2 linked regions of the Caenorhabditis elegans genome follow. The protein of the gene in region 1 interacts with the protein of each later gene in a pairwise test. Each region holds a gene or a part of one and is shown on either strand. Other genes may lie near its edges. The genes, in order: ubc-8 and rnf-1.

Region 1 (9,197 bases):
AAATATTTTATGGGTTTTGACAAATATTAATTTTCAATAATTATACTCCGTTTTCTGATTTTTTATCGAAAAAAATAGTTTACTCTAAAGTCTTTCTCAGAAAATATCACTTTGCAACTGATTATTGATTATTTTGCCGTAGGACTAAAAGTTTTCTTCAAAACTTTCTCCTTTTTTCAGTTAACGTTATCACAGTGGTTGCGAAATTTTTCGATAGTTGCAAGCGCGCTCCCCTGTAAACGGTCTGGAACTTTCAGCTTCATTTGTCAGCATTCTGGATTGTTCCCTAGAACTCCTTTTTGCCCTATATAAGAAGCCGGTGTTGCTCAATCGAGGTACTTTCTTTTTAATACTTTAAAATTTGTACTACTCCGTTTTAAAAAAAAAAGTACTTACTCTGTTTTTAATTTCTTAATCTTCAACTTTTTTTTCTCATTCATATACACAACGTCTGAGAGCTATATGTTTAAACTTTAATAGAATGAGTTGCTTGCATTACATTTTTCCATTACTCCATGAAAGTAGGCACAGCCTCAAAGCATTTATATTTGGGCAATACTGTTATTTTATCATTCCGATTTTTTTTTCAATCTTCATGAAGGCCTTGTATTCTTTCATATTTCCCATGCTCTATTCTCCCGTTCAGAATTGTAGGGGCTTAAACAATCTACCTCCACTGCACCGTTTTGTACCATGCCCAAGGATTGAATAAGTAGGCTATTCGAAATATACCATATTATGTCTGGCCTTGTTGCAGTCTCCAATAATCTCGAATTACCTTTTTGCGAGACGGTCCATACTTTGTGGCAATTTTGACAACTTTCTGATTTAGTGGGGGAAAAATTTTCGAGCCCCACCGTTTACAAAAACAGTCCGCTGCCCACCTTCTGACGGTACATTAACTTCTCTCACATAACCACATTTCCTTTGTTTTATGTAGTTTTCATAGATTTTTGAAAGTCTTCCGTTTAAAGCATTATCTTGCTGGAACTACGTTATATCTTACAATTCCCTACAGTACGATATTTCTTTGTTTCAGCAGAATGGAGAGTCGTGTTCGTCCGATAATAATCAACGACCCAAATCAGTTGTGTGTTTACATCAATCTTCATGACGAAAAGAAACCAGAGAGCTCGAGCAAGTCGAAAAGTCCATTGAAAGATGGACCCGATTCCCAAAGAAGCAACATCCGTAGAAAGCTTACAACGCAAATGCAAAAGCAAGGCTGGGAATGTGAAGCTCACATTACCTCGTTCATTTTTTACAAGGACATGGCATCAGACGACAAAAAATCAGATCCAGTTGAAAAAGCTCTCAAAGAATCAGATCTAGTTGAAAAAGCTCACAAAGAAATATCTGTCGCGATTGAAGAAACAACGAAAACTTATGAGGGAGCACAATTTCAGTACGGAATTATGAGGCCACTTACGCGTATTAGAATGTTTGAAGCCCGCCAAACTGTTGAAGAGCAGCAAAACAAGGCTCATGAAGAAGGTATGAAGACCGAAATCAAGGAGGAAATCGTCGAGGAAGGCAGCCCGTTCAATTTGAATGATATGAAGAATAACCTTCCATCAACTTCTTCTTAATCCAGGTGCTTCGTAATAATAATTGATATTTTTTTGATTTTTGATTTTAATTGATTTTTCTGTGTTTCTTTTTTTAAACTAAACTTACAAGCATGTTTTGTTTAAGGTTTATTGGTTTAAATGAATATCTGAATGAAAAAAAAAATATGTGAATGAATAAATAATGTGAATGAAATATATTTAAATGAAATGAATATATTTAAATGAATATGTTAAAATTGAGAAATGTTTTGTCACTGGCTTTGGAAACAACATGAGCATACGGTATTCAATGGTTAGGAATATGGTCATACACTATTGTATTTTTTCTCGTCTCCCAGAGAGCGTGATAAATTATTAAATATGTATAACAAATTCCCATTCAAAAGTTTCTAGAATATTATTTGAATGAAAAGTTGTTTGGAATATTTGGGCTAGAATATATCCCTGCTATTTTTAATATTTCACATCGTTATTTGTCATTGAAATAACGTCAGAAAGTCCAAAATGGAGTAATCCTCTCATCATTTTTTTGACTATATCGAAAACATTATGATACATTTATAATATGAGAAAATCTTGAAAATGTCTTGATTGAGGTATTGTATTTCTTATATCTGAACTCCAACTGCTAAACATTATTTTTAAATTTCCGCCAATTGGATTTGTTCGGTGGAGCGTGCTTGCATTATTTTTATTTATTAATTATATTTACTCTCGTTATTTGACTGATTTTCTTAATTTTCTATGTTTTTTCATCGGAAAATGAAAGAAATAAACAAGACAAATGCAAAATGTTTGTTAAAAAGTAATTGAAAATGCACAAAACTATCAGATTTTGAGTTCCGACGGCAACAATCAGTCAAATAACGAGAATAAATAAAGATTAATTGATAAAAACAATGCAAGCACGCTCCACCGAACAACTCCAATTTGCGGAAATTCAAAAATAATTAGGGGGGAAAACTGTGATTTTATTTTTTTTTAATTTTTAAAAAATCATATAAAATCAGGGAAATTTTTTTGAATTTTTTTATCATGATATTCGGTCATTGTGGTACCATACGCGTGCTTTAAAGCAATTTCCCCACTGAGCGTAGTCCACCTTTAATGTATTTATTTTAAATAGAAAACATATTAAAACTAAATTTCTGAAAATGAGCAAAATGTGTTGTCAATCTAGAATACGTGCAAAATTGAACTTTTCTGCTTAACAAATCCCAAAATGTCTAGAAAAGCCGCGCAATATTCTCTAAAAGTTCATCGTTCTCTCCCCCCTCAGCTGTTTGTATGCCTACTGCGCGCCCATTCGTCTCCCCATGAAATCTCCGCGTCTCACGATCCCTCCTCTCTCGCTGCGCGTCTCCACAAAGTGCACACTCTCTCGCGTCTGTTGTCTCGTGTTTTCTTTTTCTCTGTCCTGTCTAACCCACTCTCTCACTTCCGTGTACTCTCTCTCGAGTCGCAAGACACGGCTGGCTGCCGGGGGGCGCACGCAGCACAAGACAACCAGCCGACGACGACCCGCGCCCCGATGATCATATGTTTTTCGTCCAGTTTTCCATCGATTTTCAACCGATTTTAAGCAGTGTTTTGCGCACTTTGAAGCGTGGATTCTGAGAGTGCTGTAGACTTGGATACTGCAGCTATACGTGGCAAAAATCCCGTGTAATTTGGAGCATTTTGAAGAGGGTTTACACCGGTTTAAAGTACTATCAGTTGTTTTTTTAGTTGTGTAGGGTTGTGAGGGGTACTGTAGCTAATTGATGATAACGGTACAGTAATCCTGAGTACTGTAGAAACACGTGGCAAAAATTTTGACCATTTTGGAGCATTTTGGAGCATTTTTACGGGGAGCTCATTGAAGTGTTTTGGTGTTGATAGGAGTGCTGTATCTAGGCTAGGGGTACTGTAGCTAACTCAAAAACAAAATACAGTAACCTGGGGTACTGTAGGAACAGATTCTGGAAGTTTGAGAAAATTTAAAGCATTTTGAATAGTTTTAACAGAACTTTTTATGAGTTCAATTGTTGTTTTTTTTAAATTTATTTTGATGCCATAAAGGGTACTGTAACTGGTCTAGGAGTATTCTAGCTACAGTAATATTGAAGTACGGTAACCTAGGGTACTGTAGCAACATTTTCTGAAAATTTGAGAAAACTTGAAGCATGTTTAATAGTTTTAACAGAGGTTTTTCTGAGCTCAATTGCTGCTTTTTCGTAGTCTTGATAGCATAAAGGGTACTGTATTTATGCTAGGAATGCTGTAGCTGACCCAAAATTTTAGTACAGTAACCTGGGGTACTGTAGGAACAGATTCTGGAAATTTGAGGAAACTTAAAGCATTTTGAATAGTTTTAACAGAACTTTTTATGAGTTTAATTGTTGTTTTTTGTAGTTTTCATGGCATAAAGGGTACTGTATCTAGGCTAGGGGTACTGTAGTTACATCAGTATCTGAGTACAGTAACCTAGGGTACTGTAACAACATTGTCTAAAAATTTTGAATATATTGGAATGTTTTGAACAATTTTACGGGATTTTTTTTGAGCCAATTGAATTTTTAAATGTGTTTCGGAAGCATTGTGCTTACTGTACCTAGTCTAGGAGTACTGTAGCTACATTAATATTTGAATACAGTAACCTGGGGTACTACTGTAGCAACATTTTCTATAAGTCTGGTGACATTTGGAGCAATTTGAGCGAGGTTAAGCCTGGTTTTGGCCTGAAACTTTATTTACGTGTTTCCGGGTTACAGTAGTCTACCGTATCTCAGGGGTACTGAGAAAATTTGTTCAAAGACTATTTTCAAGTCCATGTATGAAATTTTTTTCCTTTGACCAAAAAAAATTTCTTGAAATTTTTTCCAGAAATTTTTTTTCTATCTGAAAAAATCGATATTTTCAGACCCGATGACGTCAGCCACCGCAATCGGAAAACGCCGTATAGACTGTGACGTCGTTAAGCTGTAATTGAATTTTTCGGAAAATTCCAAAAAAATCGATATTTTGTTCCAGAATTTCCCACAACCATGAAGTTCAGATTGTGAATGGGTGCAGCGAGTTTATTGTCAGATTTCATGGGCCAAAAGATAGTACGTCATAAAATAGAGAAAAATTGAATATTTTTGGCAAAAAAATCAGAAAAAATGGCCCAAAAATGACTGAAATAGACTTGTTTTCGCGCAGTGGCCGAACTTTTGCTTTTTCTAGGCCACCAGTTGAAAAGTTAGTCCCCGAAATTTCGATGTGACAACTTAGATTCCTCGTAATACCTGGAAATCAGAAAAAAACAGCTGGGGACTAGTTTTTCACTTGGTGGCCTAGAAATCCAAATGTTCGGCCACCGATTTTCTAAATTTTTTTAAAATGATTTTCATCGTTTTCTAGGGTGGTTTTTGTGGTTTTAAACGGTTTTTCAATTCGAAAATTCGAAAATTTCGAGAGTTTTGCCCATTTTCCTCCAATTTTAGGAAACTTTTCCCCAAAAAACTTCAATTTCAGACAGGTTTTACCGATTTTTCGAACAAAAATTCTTGCAGCTGCCTACGAGAATGGTGTGTGGAGAATTCGTGTCGATATGCCGGACAAATACCCGTTCAAATCGCCGTCCATCGGGTTTTTGAACAAGATTTTCCACCCGAATATCGATGAAGCTTCGGGCACCGTATGCCTTGATGTCATAAATCAGGTAGGAATTGGTGGCCGAAGTGTGTGGAAAGTTAGTCCGTGACTATGTTCTTAGTCATTTTAAGTAATTTTAAGCAATTACCAGCCCGCGGACTAACTTTTCACTTGGTGGTCTAGAAATCCGAAAGTTAGGACGCCGATTTTTTTAATCGGATTTTCATTTTTTCTTCAGGCCTGGACAGCCCTCTACGATCTCACAAACATTTTCGATACCTTCCTGCCTCAACTTCTCACCTACCCGAATGCAGCAGACCCCTTGAACGGAGAAGCCGCCCGGTTATACATTCACAAGCCAGAGGAATACAGAAGAACGTGTAGAGGTGCGTTGGAACACTAAAAAATCAATATTTGCATTGAAAAAACCATGAAAATCGACCCAGAAAGAGCGGAAATGCGTTGATGGCCGAGTTTTGGGGTTCTAGGCCACTAGTTCATTTCTTTGAGTTTTTACTGTCATTTAGTATGTTTATAACACGATTTAGCTTTAAAAACCGGTTCACTTATACTGGGGGACTAGTTTTCCACTTGGTGGCCTAGAAATCCCAGAAACTAGGCCACCGTTATATTTTTCGATTTTTTTTTTGGGGGTTTCAGTTATTCTCTGTAGTTTATACGCTGAAAAACAGTTTTTCTAGAAAGAAGTCCACAAGAAAAACCAAAAAAAAATCGGTGGCCTAACTTTTGAAGAATTCGGATTTCTAGGCCACCTCGGGTATTATATTTTTTTTTCACGGTTTTAGTAGGCTTTCAACCCTGAAAAATAAGGGAACCAGAGGAAAAAAATAGATAAACACACGCTTCGAGCCCAGTTTGGAAGTTGGTGGCCTAGAAATCCAAAAGTTAGACCGCCAACTTTTTTTTACAATTTTGATTTTGATTTAACCATGTTCTAAGCTTATTTGTGTAAGGATCTCAATTTTCGCGAAAAAAATTTTTTTAGAGAAAAAAATGTTGATGGCCGAACTTTTGAATTTCTAGGCCACCTACTCGAAACTGGCCGTTTTATTTTATTTGGAGCTTTTTTTAATTCAAATTATTAAAGTATATTTTAATCCTTTTTTTTAATTCGGCAAAAAACAATCGGGGACTAGTTTTTCACTTGGTGGACTAGAAATTCTAAAAGTTAGGCCATCATTTTTTTTTTTGCTTTTTTTTTGCTTTCTGCGTACTTTTTACGGTTCTAAGTGGTTTTTGAGGTTGAAATTGCAAAATTTTAAGAGTTTGAGCGAATTTTTCCATGTTTTTAGCAATTTTTTGATCAAAAAAATGGAATTTTGCCGATTTTTATCGATTTTTTTAAATTTTTTTTTATTTTCAGAATACGTAATGCGATTTGCAAGTGAACACCGTGCCATAGAAGGATGCTCCCCGGGAAACGCCTATTCCATATCCTCAACACCCTCGGAGCACTACGATGGTCACCCGCAGGACGATGACGACGAAAGTTGTAGTTCAATGTCGGAATTTGATGAAAGTGAAGTGAACTTTGATGATTTTGATGCTGACGACACAATGACTGTAGATCAAATGGAATTTTAATGGGGGAAATATTCGGAAAACTTTTATTTTCCGCTTAAAATTCTTTTTTTTTTGTTCAATTTGTCCGATATTTCCCGTGAAAATTAAGTCAAAACTAGTTATAAATTGAGATTTTTGAGCAAAACTCACACTAGAATGATGCAAAAATTGATGATGGCCGAACTTTTCTGAAATTTTTTTTTTCTAGGCCACCAAGTGCAAATATTTATTTTCATCAATCTAGGGGTAAAAATGCTCGAAAATTTCAAATTTTCCACTCAAATCTCTTCATTTTTCCCATAAATCACCAATTTTTTTGACCTCAAGCCCCCCCCCCCCCCCAAATTTTCTCTTCAATTCCCCCCGAAATTCAGGATTTTTTTGTATTTTTTCCCAGTTTCTTCCTTCTTCGTGTGTCCATATCTTCGTTGCCCCCGTTTTTTTTCTCGTTGTCCTTACTCATTTCCTATGAGCACCTGTGTAGAATGTGTAGAAAATTGTAAATATTATCGATTTTTCCTTTTCGCGGACTGCCTTTCCCTGTTTTTTTCGCCCAGGTTTTCCTGTATTTTTGTGAATTTGTTTTTTTTTGGAATTTCTCGCTAGATTTTGTGTACATAATAAAGCTTTTTCATGAGAAAAACAGGCATTTTCAGAAAATTATTAATTACACACAGAAAAGCTGAATTTCCCCTTGGGGTACGGTCAACATTGCCTCTGACGCGCATTGTACGCAAACACGCCACCCCTCCAGAGTGCACACAATGCAGCGGAACCTACGCGCAAATGATTTTTTCAACGAAAAATTAAATTTTAAATTCAATTTCCGCCAATTTCCAACCGAATTTCTCGATTTTTCTTGTAAATTTTGATTTAAAATTTTAAAAATCACCTATTTCTTCATTATTCGTCAATTTCCGCGACAAATTTCCCGCTAAAAATCGATATTTTCGTTTCAGGGTAAAAATGGCGTCGGACGACGAGGAAGACTTCACTCAGCTGCAAATTAATCAGAATAGAAAGCATAAAAAGGCCGGAGGATGGCAACAAATCGGTTTGGACCATTCGGTTTACAAGGCGATCGAGAAAAAAGGCTTTAATCAGCCCACGCCGATTCAGGCAAGGATTTTCGCGAAAAATTAAGGAAATAATGGCTTTTTGTAGTGGGAAATGGAGTGAAAAATTGTGAAATTTTTGATTAAAAAGATTAGAAATTCTTTAAAATCAAAATTTCCCGCGAAAAATTTAAATTTTTGAAATCACTTAAATTTGACATAAAAATCGATTTCTCCACTATTTTACCAATAAAATAGTTTAAAATTTCAATTTTTAAAGCGAAATAAGCTTGAAAATCTGGTTTTTAGCCCTCAAAAACCCGCAAAATCCCATTTTCCCCAGAAAAAAGCCGGAAACCCCCAAATTTTCCAATTTTCAGCGCAAAACAATCCCGTGTATTATGGATGGAAAAGATGTGGTGGCCATGTCACGTACAGGATCCGGAAAAACCGCCGCTTTTGTGATTCCGATGCTCCAAAAGCTGAAAAGAAGAGATACGACTGGAATTCGGGCTCTTATGGTGTCTCCGACACGAGAATTGGCTCTTCAGACGTTTAAAGTCGTCAAAGAGGTGCGAAAATTGATGAAAATCGAGGAATTGGCTGGGAAATCTGGATTTTTACCGCGAAAAAATGCTCAAAAACTTTGTATTTTCACTTGAAAACTGATTTTTTTTCCGTTAAAAATCATTAAATCGGCTAAAAATTCATTTTTTTTCTGCCTAAAAATGTTGCTTTTTCACTTAAAAAGTGTGAATTTATGCCAAAAATCTCAAAAATTTAGCTGAAAACCCCGAATTTTCACTCAAAATTGCTCATTTTTCAGCTCGGCCGCTTCACAGGACTCCGTTGTGCTTGCCTTGTCGGAGGAGATCAAATTGAGGAGCAATTCTCCACAATTCACGAGAATCCCGACATGTTAGTGAGGATTTTTTCGACGAAAAAACGCCGAAATTTCGGTCATTTTGGCCCAAAAATCGAACAAATCCGATGGTTTTGCGCAGAAAATTGGACGGTTTTCAGCGTTTTTGACCCACAAAATGCAAAAAATTGCAATTTTTTAGGATTTATAGCTGAGAAGCCTAAAAATCCAAATTTTAAGCTTAAAAATCCAAATTTCAAGCCTAAAAATCCAAATTTGAAGCCTAGAAATTCAAATTTTAAGCCTAAAAATCCAAATTTTAAGCTTAGAAATCCAAATTTTAAGCTTCAAAATCCAAATTTTAGGCTTAAAAATGCAAATTTTAAGCTTAAAAATCCAAACTTTAAGCCTAAAAATCCAAATTTTAAGCTCAAATTTCCAAATTTTAAGCCAAAAAATCCAAATTTTAAGCCAAAAAATCCAAATTTAAAGCCTAAAAATCCAAAT
Region 2 (8,622 bases), on another chromosome or scaffold:
CTCATGCTGATGTGAGAGCATTGATGGGTGGGCAGTTTGCACAAGGAGAAAATGCGGATACCAATAATTGTCAGGTAAAATGCTTTGTGACAAAATACTTTTTGCCTATACGGCTGCCTAATGCCTACATATAAACCTAATCATTTCAGGATACAGTCGAAGAAGTGGACAGTGAGATGCTCGAAATTGCATTCTCACCCCTACTTGCCGTAATCCCACGCGAAGATGAAAGAGTCTACGGAGCTTTCGTGCATCCCACCGAACAGAAGAAAAATGCTGAAGCCTAACTTTATTGATCTTTTCCAATCCCCTTTTGAATAAAATAAAAAAAAAAATAATCCATTGAATGAGTTGACTTACTTGAAAAACATCGTGGCTTAAACACTGACGAGTTGATTGCAAATTGAGCTTCTTTTGAGATCCAAAAGCTATTTCTCTGCAAGAGAACAGTATTATTATGTTATTATGTCATAAGACACATTTTCTCACAATAGGAATTTCACAGTAGCTTCTTCCGACGCTTTGAGTGGTACATCTATGCTTAAGACCATTGATATTATTACCTTTCTTATTGCCAGCAGTAATCTGAAAATTTCAGGTTGGAGAAACATTTAATACAGGTGAAATAATCGATAATAAGATCGCAAATATATTTTTATCTATCTGGGGGGAATGGACCACCCAGTAGATAACAACAAATACACTGGGCGGTCCATTTTAATGTCTCGGAAGCATGTTCGCTGCGAGACCATTTCACACCGTACCATTTCTTTAAAGGCACACACAGCTAAAATTTCTTCTCGTTGCTGGATCCATTTCTATCATCAAACTTTTTCATTGCTTTTGTTTAAAAAATATTTTTTCGAAGAAAGTTTTTTGGTTTTTTCTGTGAATAAAATTATTGTATTTGCTGCAGCAAAACATGTTTAACATTTTAGATGGAGTATAATCGTTTGGGGATTTCGTTTAACTGATAGAAAATGGGACCGTAATGACTAAATATAAGTGTAAAAATATACAAATTATTAATGAAGTATACGGCGGCGGTTAATAAGACCAAACACACGAATTCACTAACTTGCTCTTTATCATTTTTCAGGAAATCGGGTAAAAGAGAAATAACAATAATTGCCCGTCTTCGATTATTTATTTACATGCAAAAAGTTATCTCGAAAATAAGTTAAAAATAGCGATGACTGGATATTTACAAGCAATATTTATTTTTTCACATTATCAGATTTTTCTGTACAAGCGGCTCTGGTTTCCAATTTGGTAGCGATCGCTCCGTGGTCGACTTGAAGGTGCTCCGTGTGAATTCTTCGCTGTAAAAATGATTTTAGCGTTATCGAAAAATTTCATTCAAAATCAGATATCATATATTTGCTACGCGGTAGCGAAAAATGGTTTTTCCTTTTGGTCACATTGCAAAATGTTTCAGATATCAGAGCATCTAAGTCGGGAAAATCGTAACACTGCAAATGATTTACGTTTCTGAAAAGCCGACTGAGACCGATCTGGAATCCTCGCACGAGAGACGAGCTTCGTTCTGGCTGAGCAGGACTTTTCTTTTCAGCGCAAGGCTTTTCTTCTTCCTCCTCGACATCTTCTTCGTCTTCATTCTCTTCTTCATCTTCATCTGATTCCTCTTCATCATAGGAATATTCCAAATCAGCTTCATATACAGCTTCTTTCACTGAATCGCACAAAACTTCGAGGTCTGCCTTCGTGGCTTCTGATAATAGCATTATTTTTCAAAAAATCGGTAGGTATTTAATTTCCTCACCAATTGTACTAGTTTTTGATACATCGCGAAGTTGCTCGAATTTTGCCATCAGATCCGCTTTCACGTCAGCAATCAAAAGTCGATATCCTTCATCGATCAGCTCGTCAATCGTTTGCTCCAATTGTGGTTGGGCGGCTTGTTTCATTGGCGGCTCTTCAGGCTTCTCCGGTCCAAGGAAACCACATTTTCGAATCAATTCTGGAGAAAATAGTGAAAATTAGCTTTTAGAACATTTCGTTTTAGAATACAAGCAAGGATACATTGCATAATATTTATAAAATTGCGATAAATGAATTGAAACCGATTTTTCATTCCCTGACTCACCCATAATCGCAAAATTGGTCGAAACAGCCGCGATATCACATTTAGTCTCCGCGCGACACGACGGGCACTCCAAATACGCCGAATTTCCGTATTTTTGCATTGTTTTGATACATTCCGTGCAGAACGTATGTCCGCAATGCAAACCACGAGCCAGCTTTGTCGTCTCATTGTAATTCTAAATTGGAAAGTTTAATTTTTGAACAATAAAACAAGTGGGGCACTCACAGTGCAGCAGACTTGGCATTTGAGAAACTCCTCGAGAAAATCACCTATCAGCGGGAATGCAGGCGACGCAGCCGAACTATCTGGAATTTTCGAATTTTGGAACCAGATCTTATAAAAACGAAAAATTACCTGTTACAGATGCCACATCCGCAGGCATTTCACTTTTTGTTGCGGACATTTATGGCTGAAAATGCTAAATTAAGTAGGTGATTTTTGGGAAAGAAAGGAGAAAAAAATTCAAAACTTCTTCCAAAACTTTCTACAGTAATCTTAAAGGCACATGAACAACCATGTTTGAATTATGATTTCGCGGCGAGACCTTTCCAAATAAATGTGGTTCCCTTGAAAGTCCTGAATTTTTGAATGAGAAAAAAAAACACTTTTGAAGAGAAACAAAAGCGAAAATAAAATAAAGGAAATCGCACAGATTTTTCAGGGGAAAACAAGAAGAGATCTTTATTTTCTCTATTAAAACATGTAAAACAATACAAAAATTTCAGGCGGAGACGGGATAAAATTGAATTATATAGTAATTTATTCTTCATTCAGAAGAGCAGAGAGCAGAAGAAATCTGTGAAGAACTCTGCCGGCTTCTTCTATGTGCGAATTCGGAAAGTCTTCAGTGGAAACTGAGCTGAGTGAAGATTCATTGTCGGAGAATTCTTTTTCGTCGTCGGAAAAGTCGAGGTTCCCGTTTTCCTGGAATTTTTTTCTTAATTTCAGCTGTTTTAGTTTAAAAAATAGCCGTCTGACAATAAATTTACATACATCTCCAAAAAGGCAGCGAAAACTTTTGTACGTCTCCTCTTCATCTGTTTCAGGCATAACCAATGTGGGATAGTAGTCATCGGAACATTCGGAGATATTATCCTGAATTAGAAAAAAGATTAACAATCGAATTCAAAGTCCTACTAACGTCATCGGAAAACGGACAAAAATGATCATTCTCATGATTCCCAAAACTGCCGGAAGTTGTGGAAACCTGCGAAATGCTGTCGTTGTCCTGCAAACATTTTTTCTAAAATATAAACTTGTCGACAGTGACACTTACATTTCCAAAAAGTCCTCGAAAACGTCGGTAGGCGGCCGCCTCCTCAATACCTGAAACCACACCTGGATCATCTAGTTCGTTTTCCTGAAAGATTTTTTCTATTCTAAATGTTTAACTCGATGAAAACTAACGTCTCCAAAAAGACGACGAAAATTGCGATAGAAACCGCCACCCAGTGTTCTGTCCGGGACAGTAGTATTTGATTCTAGAAAATCTGTTGAGTCTTCTGTAGTCTCAGAATCGCTGTCCTGAAAATTTTCAAATCAAGGGAGCATGGAAAATATCAACTAACTCTTGCTGCCAAGAACCTTAGCATAGTTCGAACTCGCTGATCCTCAGAATTCGCATCAGAATTGTCGTCAGAATCGTAATAACATTCAGAAACAGCCCCTGCCAAGGCTTCAGCCATGTTGCTGACCTCTCGCTCGGCTTCTGCTGAAAAAATTCAGTTTTTATAGAAAATACTTATACACATTTGGCTTTGCCTAGACTCCATAGCTGTGATTTGATGCGGAAAACGTCAAAATGGTGAATGAGACTGCTTTTTACTTCAACAAGCAGCTCGCGGAATTTATTATCAATCATTTCATCTCTATTCGTTTTATTTGAGCAGCAACTAGAGGAAGTTCGCGGAGCGTCAACTGGAGGACCCAGAAGCCCGAAATTCCTTGCCAATTCTGAGAAAAAACGTGGATTTCAATACTCAAAAGAGGTAAAACTTACCCATAATTGAAAAATTTGGTGCTACATTTTCGATGTTGCTTTTAGTTTCCGCACGGCAAGTAGGGCACTCTAAATGTGGGGAATTACCGTAGTTTTGCACGTTTCTGATGCATTCTGTGCAGAAAGTGTGGCCACAGTGCAAGGACCGAGCCAATTTTGTGGTTTCATTAAAAGGCTGCAAACATATTTTGTAGAAAATTGAGTAAAACTAGGAAATTAGTACCTGATAGCAGACTTGGCACTGGCAGTACCCAGCCAAGACTGTTGATAGAATTTCTGGATTTTCGGTATTTTTTTCTGAAATGAAATTTAATAAATTTTAATACAAACTCGAGATTGTCAATCTTACCGCTCATTTTCACGGAGATAAATACCTAGAAATTCTGAAACAAAAAGAAAGCTGGAATTTGCCTGGACACAAGCCTGGAAAACAAAAACAAATTTGGGGAGTCTAGCGGAGCGCGTTTACTGTAATTATTTTTGTCTTTTCAAAGTTTTTCATAAAACTAAACTGAATTGTCATTCCTTTTTTGTTTTTAAAATATAAATCAGTTTATTATAAAAAAATTACATTATTAATAATATTAATAATTATATATTGCGACACAAATTTTTCTCAAATTTAAAATTATTTCAGAAGTCAAGACGAAAAAACAAAGCTATTCATTATTCGAAACAATTTTTATTCGATTTTATGATAATATATATATTATTAAATTCCAAAAAGACTGTAAAATGTAAAACTCTCTCTAGCGTAGCATGTGACTTGTCGATTCCCATAAAAAAATAACCATTTAAACATCCGCGCAAAGAAATTCGCATTGGAGCGCACCTGCCTCACTCGTGCTTGTTTCGTTTTTTTATTCTCATTCAATTTCACAACCGTTTTTATCATTATTTTCCGGAAAATCTTAAGAGTTTCTCGTTTAGAATCTTATAAATAATGGAACGTAAAAAACACAAACGCCTAAATGATACGATTATGAAGCCGGAGGACATGAAAAAGGCGAAACTGAACCATAAACTCCCGACGACTAGTGGAGGCACTGGCGGACCGTCAACTTCTGGAGGAGTTAAAGCGAAGTTGGATTTTAGATCAAAAACTTGTATTCCACCAAAGCCAACGCTAAGTAATTCCGGTAAAAATTTTCAATTTTTCCCAGAAAACACCTAATAATTAAACAAATTTCCAGCAAATCCATCCCTACAATCCAGCCATCTCGTTCGCCCCAATCTCGATGATCAATGGAAAGATTTTGGAGATACAATCAATTTAAACATCGAAACCTTCCAGAAAAGCGTACAGGAGGCGATTTTAGCGGGCCATTTTACAAAAATCGCTAAAATGTTCGTCGCCGCGCTCAAGAGCTTCTTTGTCGGAGAAAAGTTGAAAGTGGAGCTCAGAATAATGGGAACAATTGCGGAAACCGTAAAAAATCATGGGGATAAGCTAAATGTTGGTTCAAATCTAACAAAAACTTGGAGAATAATTCTAATCATTGAAAAATTTTCAGCAAATTCCTCTCCACCGCGCTCTGCTCTTCGTAATTTGCAATTCTCGATCATATCCTGACAATATTCTCGAACTATTCATCTCAATAATCACTTCACTTGCAAGGCAACAACCAATTCTTGATAAATGTTATCTAACAGCATTTCTCCATGATTCTATTGGAATGAGCGTTGGACTCGGCACAATGAATCGATGCTCCTGGATTGAAAAAGAGTGCTCGGCAGAGCTTGTGAAAATGATTTTGGATCCGTTTGAAACTGTCTATCCATTTCCGGCAATGTATGCGCAGTGCCAGGTTGAGAATTTTGCCATTTCCGAATTTTTGAGCTTCTTCTCTGAAAAAGTGGGGAAGTCGAGGGAAAAAAGGTAATAAATTTACGATTTTTTAGAAAAAATTTCGCTTATATTTTTCCTAATTTAAACAGAAACAAAAAGCAGCATCTACAAACAACGGTGTAATACTAGCTGAAAAGCATTTAAAGTTTATCAAAATCTCAGAAGAAATTTTTATTCTGTGTTAGAAAAGTGGAAATAAAAAAAACAGTTTAAAGAATAAGTCAAATTTTAATTTTAATACATTTTTGATTTCAGTCCCCGCTCGAATCTTCACCAAAAGCAGTTAGACGTCTTTCTGGAATTCCTGAAGCCCTGGTTCGACACAATTCGCGGTGAAGTTCTTCCAAAACCTCTTTTCCGTGCTCTCTGCCTTCTCTGTGGCTACGAGCACATTCGTCTTTTCATTGCGAACCGTCTGGAAATTTGGATAACTCTTCAGAAATTCCATCGAGAAATCAGTGAGCTTTTGCTAGTGATCGGGTCGAATATTAACGCGGAAAACCACGAGTTGGACAAGGAAATCATCGATATTCTACTGAAATTGAACACGAAAAATATGAAAACACGAACTGTGGTTGGACCATTCACTCAAGCGATTAAAACGATTTGTGAGGTGTCAAGGAATGTCGAAATTGTATTGGATTCACTTTTTATTAATGAAACTGGACCAGCACAAAATAGATCTCCCACCAATCTACAAACAATTTATATGATCCTTCAAAATCAACCAACAGAAGCCACAAAAGCTCTAGCAGTAATAATATCGAAGGAATTGTTTAAAGAAAAGGAAAATTGCGTGAAAATGCTCAGAGCTTTCATGCGAGAGCTCATTCGTGGATTTTATCACTCAAAATCCGGAGATTTCCCATTTTCAGTGTTTGCGGAGACATTATTCAATAAAGTTCAGCGGCGAGGAGAACCGGTAAATTTAGATTTTAATCCAGGAACCTTGAAATAAATAATAAAGAAAATTTCAACCGACATGTCATTTTTCGAAATTTCCCCCCAAAAGCTACAAAAATGTTGTCTATTTTTTCTGCATTTCAGCAGTTTTCGCTAAATTTGATGCTTCGAATTTGGTAAAAACTGCTGTAATTCAGAAGAAAAACATGACATAGTTTTCACAATGTTCCATTTGAAATTGGTTCGAGCGTTATTTAAAAAACCGAAAATCTAATTTCAGGACGAAATCCTCAGCTACGCAGTGGATCTAATTGCTCAACTCCCGCTTGCAACAATATCTTCACTGCTCACAACTCGTGAAAATGCATTTTCCATTAAATTCAGTGTTCCGACAGGCACTGGAGATGTTCCTCTAATACCCGTAGAAGCACGATTGGCTCGTCAGAAATTTGAATGTGAATTCATTTCATATTGCGAGAAAGTGATTGAACAATTATTGAAATCAAGAAATTTATTCTTTGATGAACAAGTTTTCATTCGAAGTTTCTCGATTCTTTTGTATCTTGAAACACAAAGAGATGTCTATACAGGAATTGAAATGGCTGCAGTTACAGATTCAGAAATTTCAAATTGTATTCGAATTTTTGGAGAATGTGGAGTCTCGGAGAATATGCTTCTGATGGTAAGGATATTAAGAACTGAATGGTTTTTATAAACGTTTAATCATTTTTTTAGGGAAAAATCAAAAAATTATTGTTTTTTTTAATTAGAAAATTGCTTAAGTTAGAAAGACATTAAATTTACTGGTTTGTTATTTCTACGAAATTTTTCAAACATTCAGAATTTTTGAGTTTTCAAAAGAGTAGCTTTTTCGTGCAATTTTAATTAAAAGTTTCTGAAAATCCGAACGTCTGAAATGTTTCTTTTTTAAATTCTAGAACACTTTTTTGTTTAAAACAATCAGAAAATTTACAAAACAAAGAAGATGATATAAAATATTGGAAATGTTTTTTTTCGAAAACTATAAATTTAAATTTTTTATTTTTTCCAGATTTGCCGAGAAGAAACCACCCAACTTCCACAAAAATCACAAATCGATCTGATCTCGGCTCTAACTCAACGGGCGGCTCTATTTCATCCAAAAATCACCACAAATCCATTAATTCGCATCACAGAACCATTTAAACTCATCGATTCATATCTTAAAATGACAATTTTTCCAAGAAAAGAAGCGCCACGCCTGGATCCTCCAATATGCAATCGAAAGTTTTACTGGACTGCGTGGACAACTATTATTTTATGGATTGCTGCTGGAACAGAGATTATTTCATTTTTTGAAGAAATCTATTCGGAATATCCGATTTTGAGATATCTAATTCATTGCATTTTGTGCCAAAAATTTGAATTTCCGCTTGAATTTGAAGGAAAATCGGTTGCAATGATGAATGACGAAGAAGCAGTCGCTGTTGACGTGGAGACACGAGTCATCGAAATGTATGAGAAGAATATGAAACGAGCGGTACCTGCAATGAGTATGGAATTTCCGAATAGGTAAGATAAGTGTCCGATTTGAATGGAAAATTCAAAAAATTTAAATAAAAAGGTAAAGAATAAAATTTTGGTGCAAAGTCAAACTAAACTTGAAAATATATAGGAAGTTTGAAATTTCAGAAAATTTTCAAACTAAATTTTAATTTTAAAAATGTAACCTTTATCAGAATTTTTTTTTCAAATTTAAGATTTTCTGTTTGAATTCAAAATTTA

The links.
Region 2: the proteins of ubc-8 (region 1) and rnf-1 interact in a two-hybrid assay, tested with the Caenorhabditis elegans proteins (one study listed by BioGRID).

What each region holds. Positions count from the first base shown.
Region 1 is NC_003282.8:2,702,513-2,711,709, reverse strand, and holds ubc-8 (UBC core domain-containing protein), read left to right. Parts: upstream 1-4,471; 5' UTR 4,472-4,478; coding exon 4,479-4,534; intron 4,535-4,583; coding exon 4,584-4,660; intron 4,661-5,107; coding exon 5,108-5,256; intron 5,257-5,427; coding exon 5,428-5,575; intron 5,576-6,573; coding exon 6,574-6,794; 3' UTR 6,795-6,969; downstream 6,970-9,197. Other genes in the region: Y94H6A.10 (Ulp1 protease family, C-terminal catalytic domain containing protein), read left to right, coding at 1,044-1,589; Y94H6A.5 (RNA helicase), read left to right, coding at 7,740-7,892, 8,209-8,400, 8,655-8,746.
Region 2 is NC_003279.8:6,007,009-6,015,630, forward strand, and holds rnf-1 (RING-type domain-containing protein), read right to left. Parts: upstream 4,579-8,622; 5' UTR 4,463-4,578; coding exon 4,456-4,462; intron 4,404-4,455; coding exon 4,330-4,403; intron 4,282-4,329; coding exon 4,107-4,281; intron 4,061-4,106; coding exon 3,869-4,060; intron 3,819-3,868; coding exon 3,676-3,818; intron 3,632-3,675; coding exon 3,515-3,631; intron 3,468-3,514; coding exon 3,384-3,467; intron 3,336-3,383; coding exon 3,249-3,335; intron 3,203-3,248; coding exon 3,101-3,202; intron 3,032-3,100; coding exon 2,867-3,031; 3' UTR 2,774-2,866; downstream 1-2,773. Other genes in the region: C06A5.12 (LEM-like domain-containing protein), read right to left, coding at 361-436, 490-551; C06A5.2 (uncharacterized protein), read left to right, coding at 1-74, 150-287; C06A5.8 (RING-type domain-containing protein), read right to left, coding at 1,218-1,322, 1,488-1,732, 1,784-1,981, 2,108-2,282, 2,333-2,412, 2,462-2,510; ints-1 (Integrator complex subunit 1 RPB2-binding domain-containing protein), read left to right, coding at 5,050-5,245, 5,300-5,562, 5,621-5,985, 6,211-6,877, 7,139-7,540, 7,910-8,409.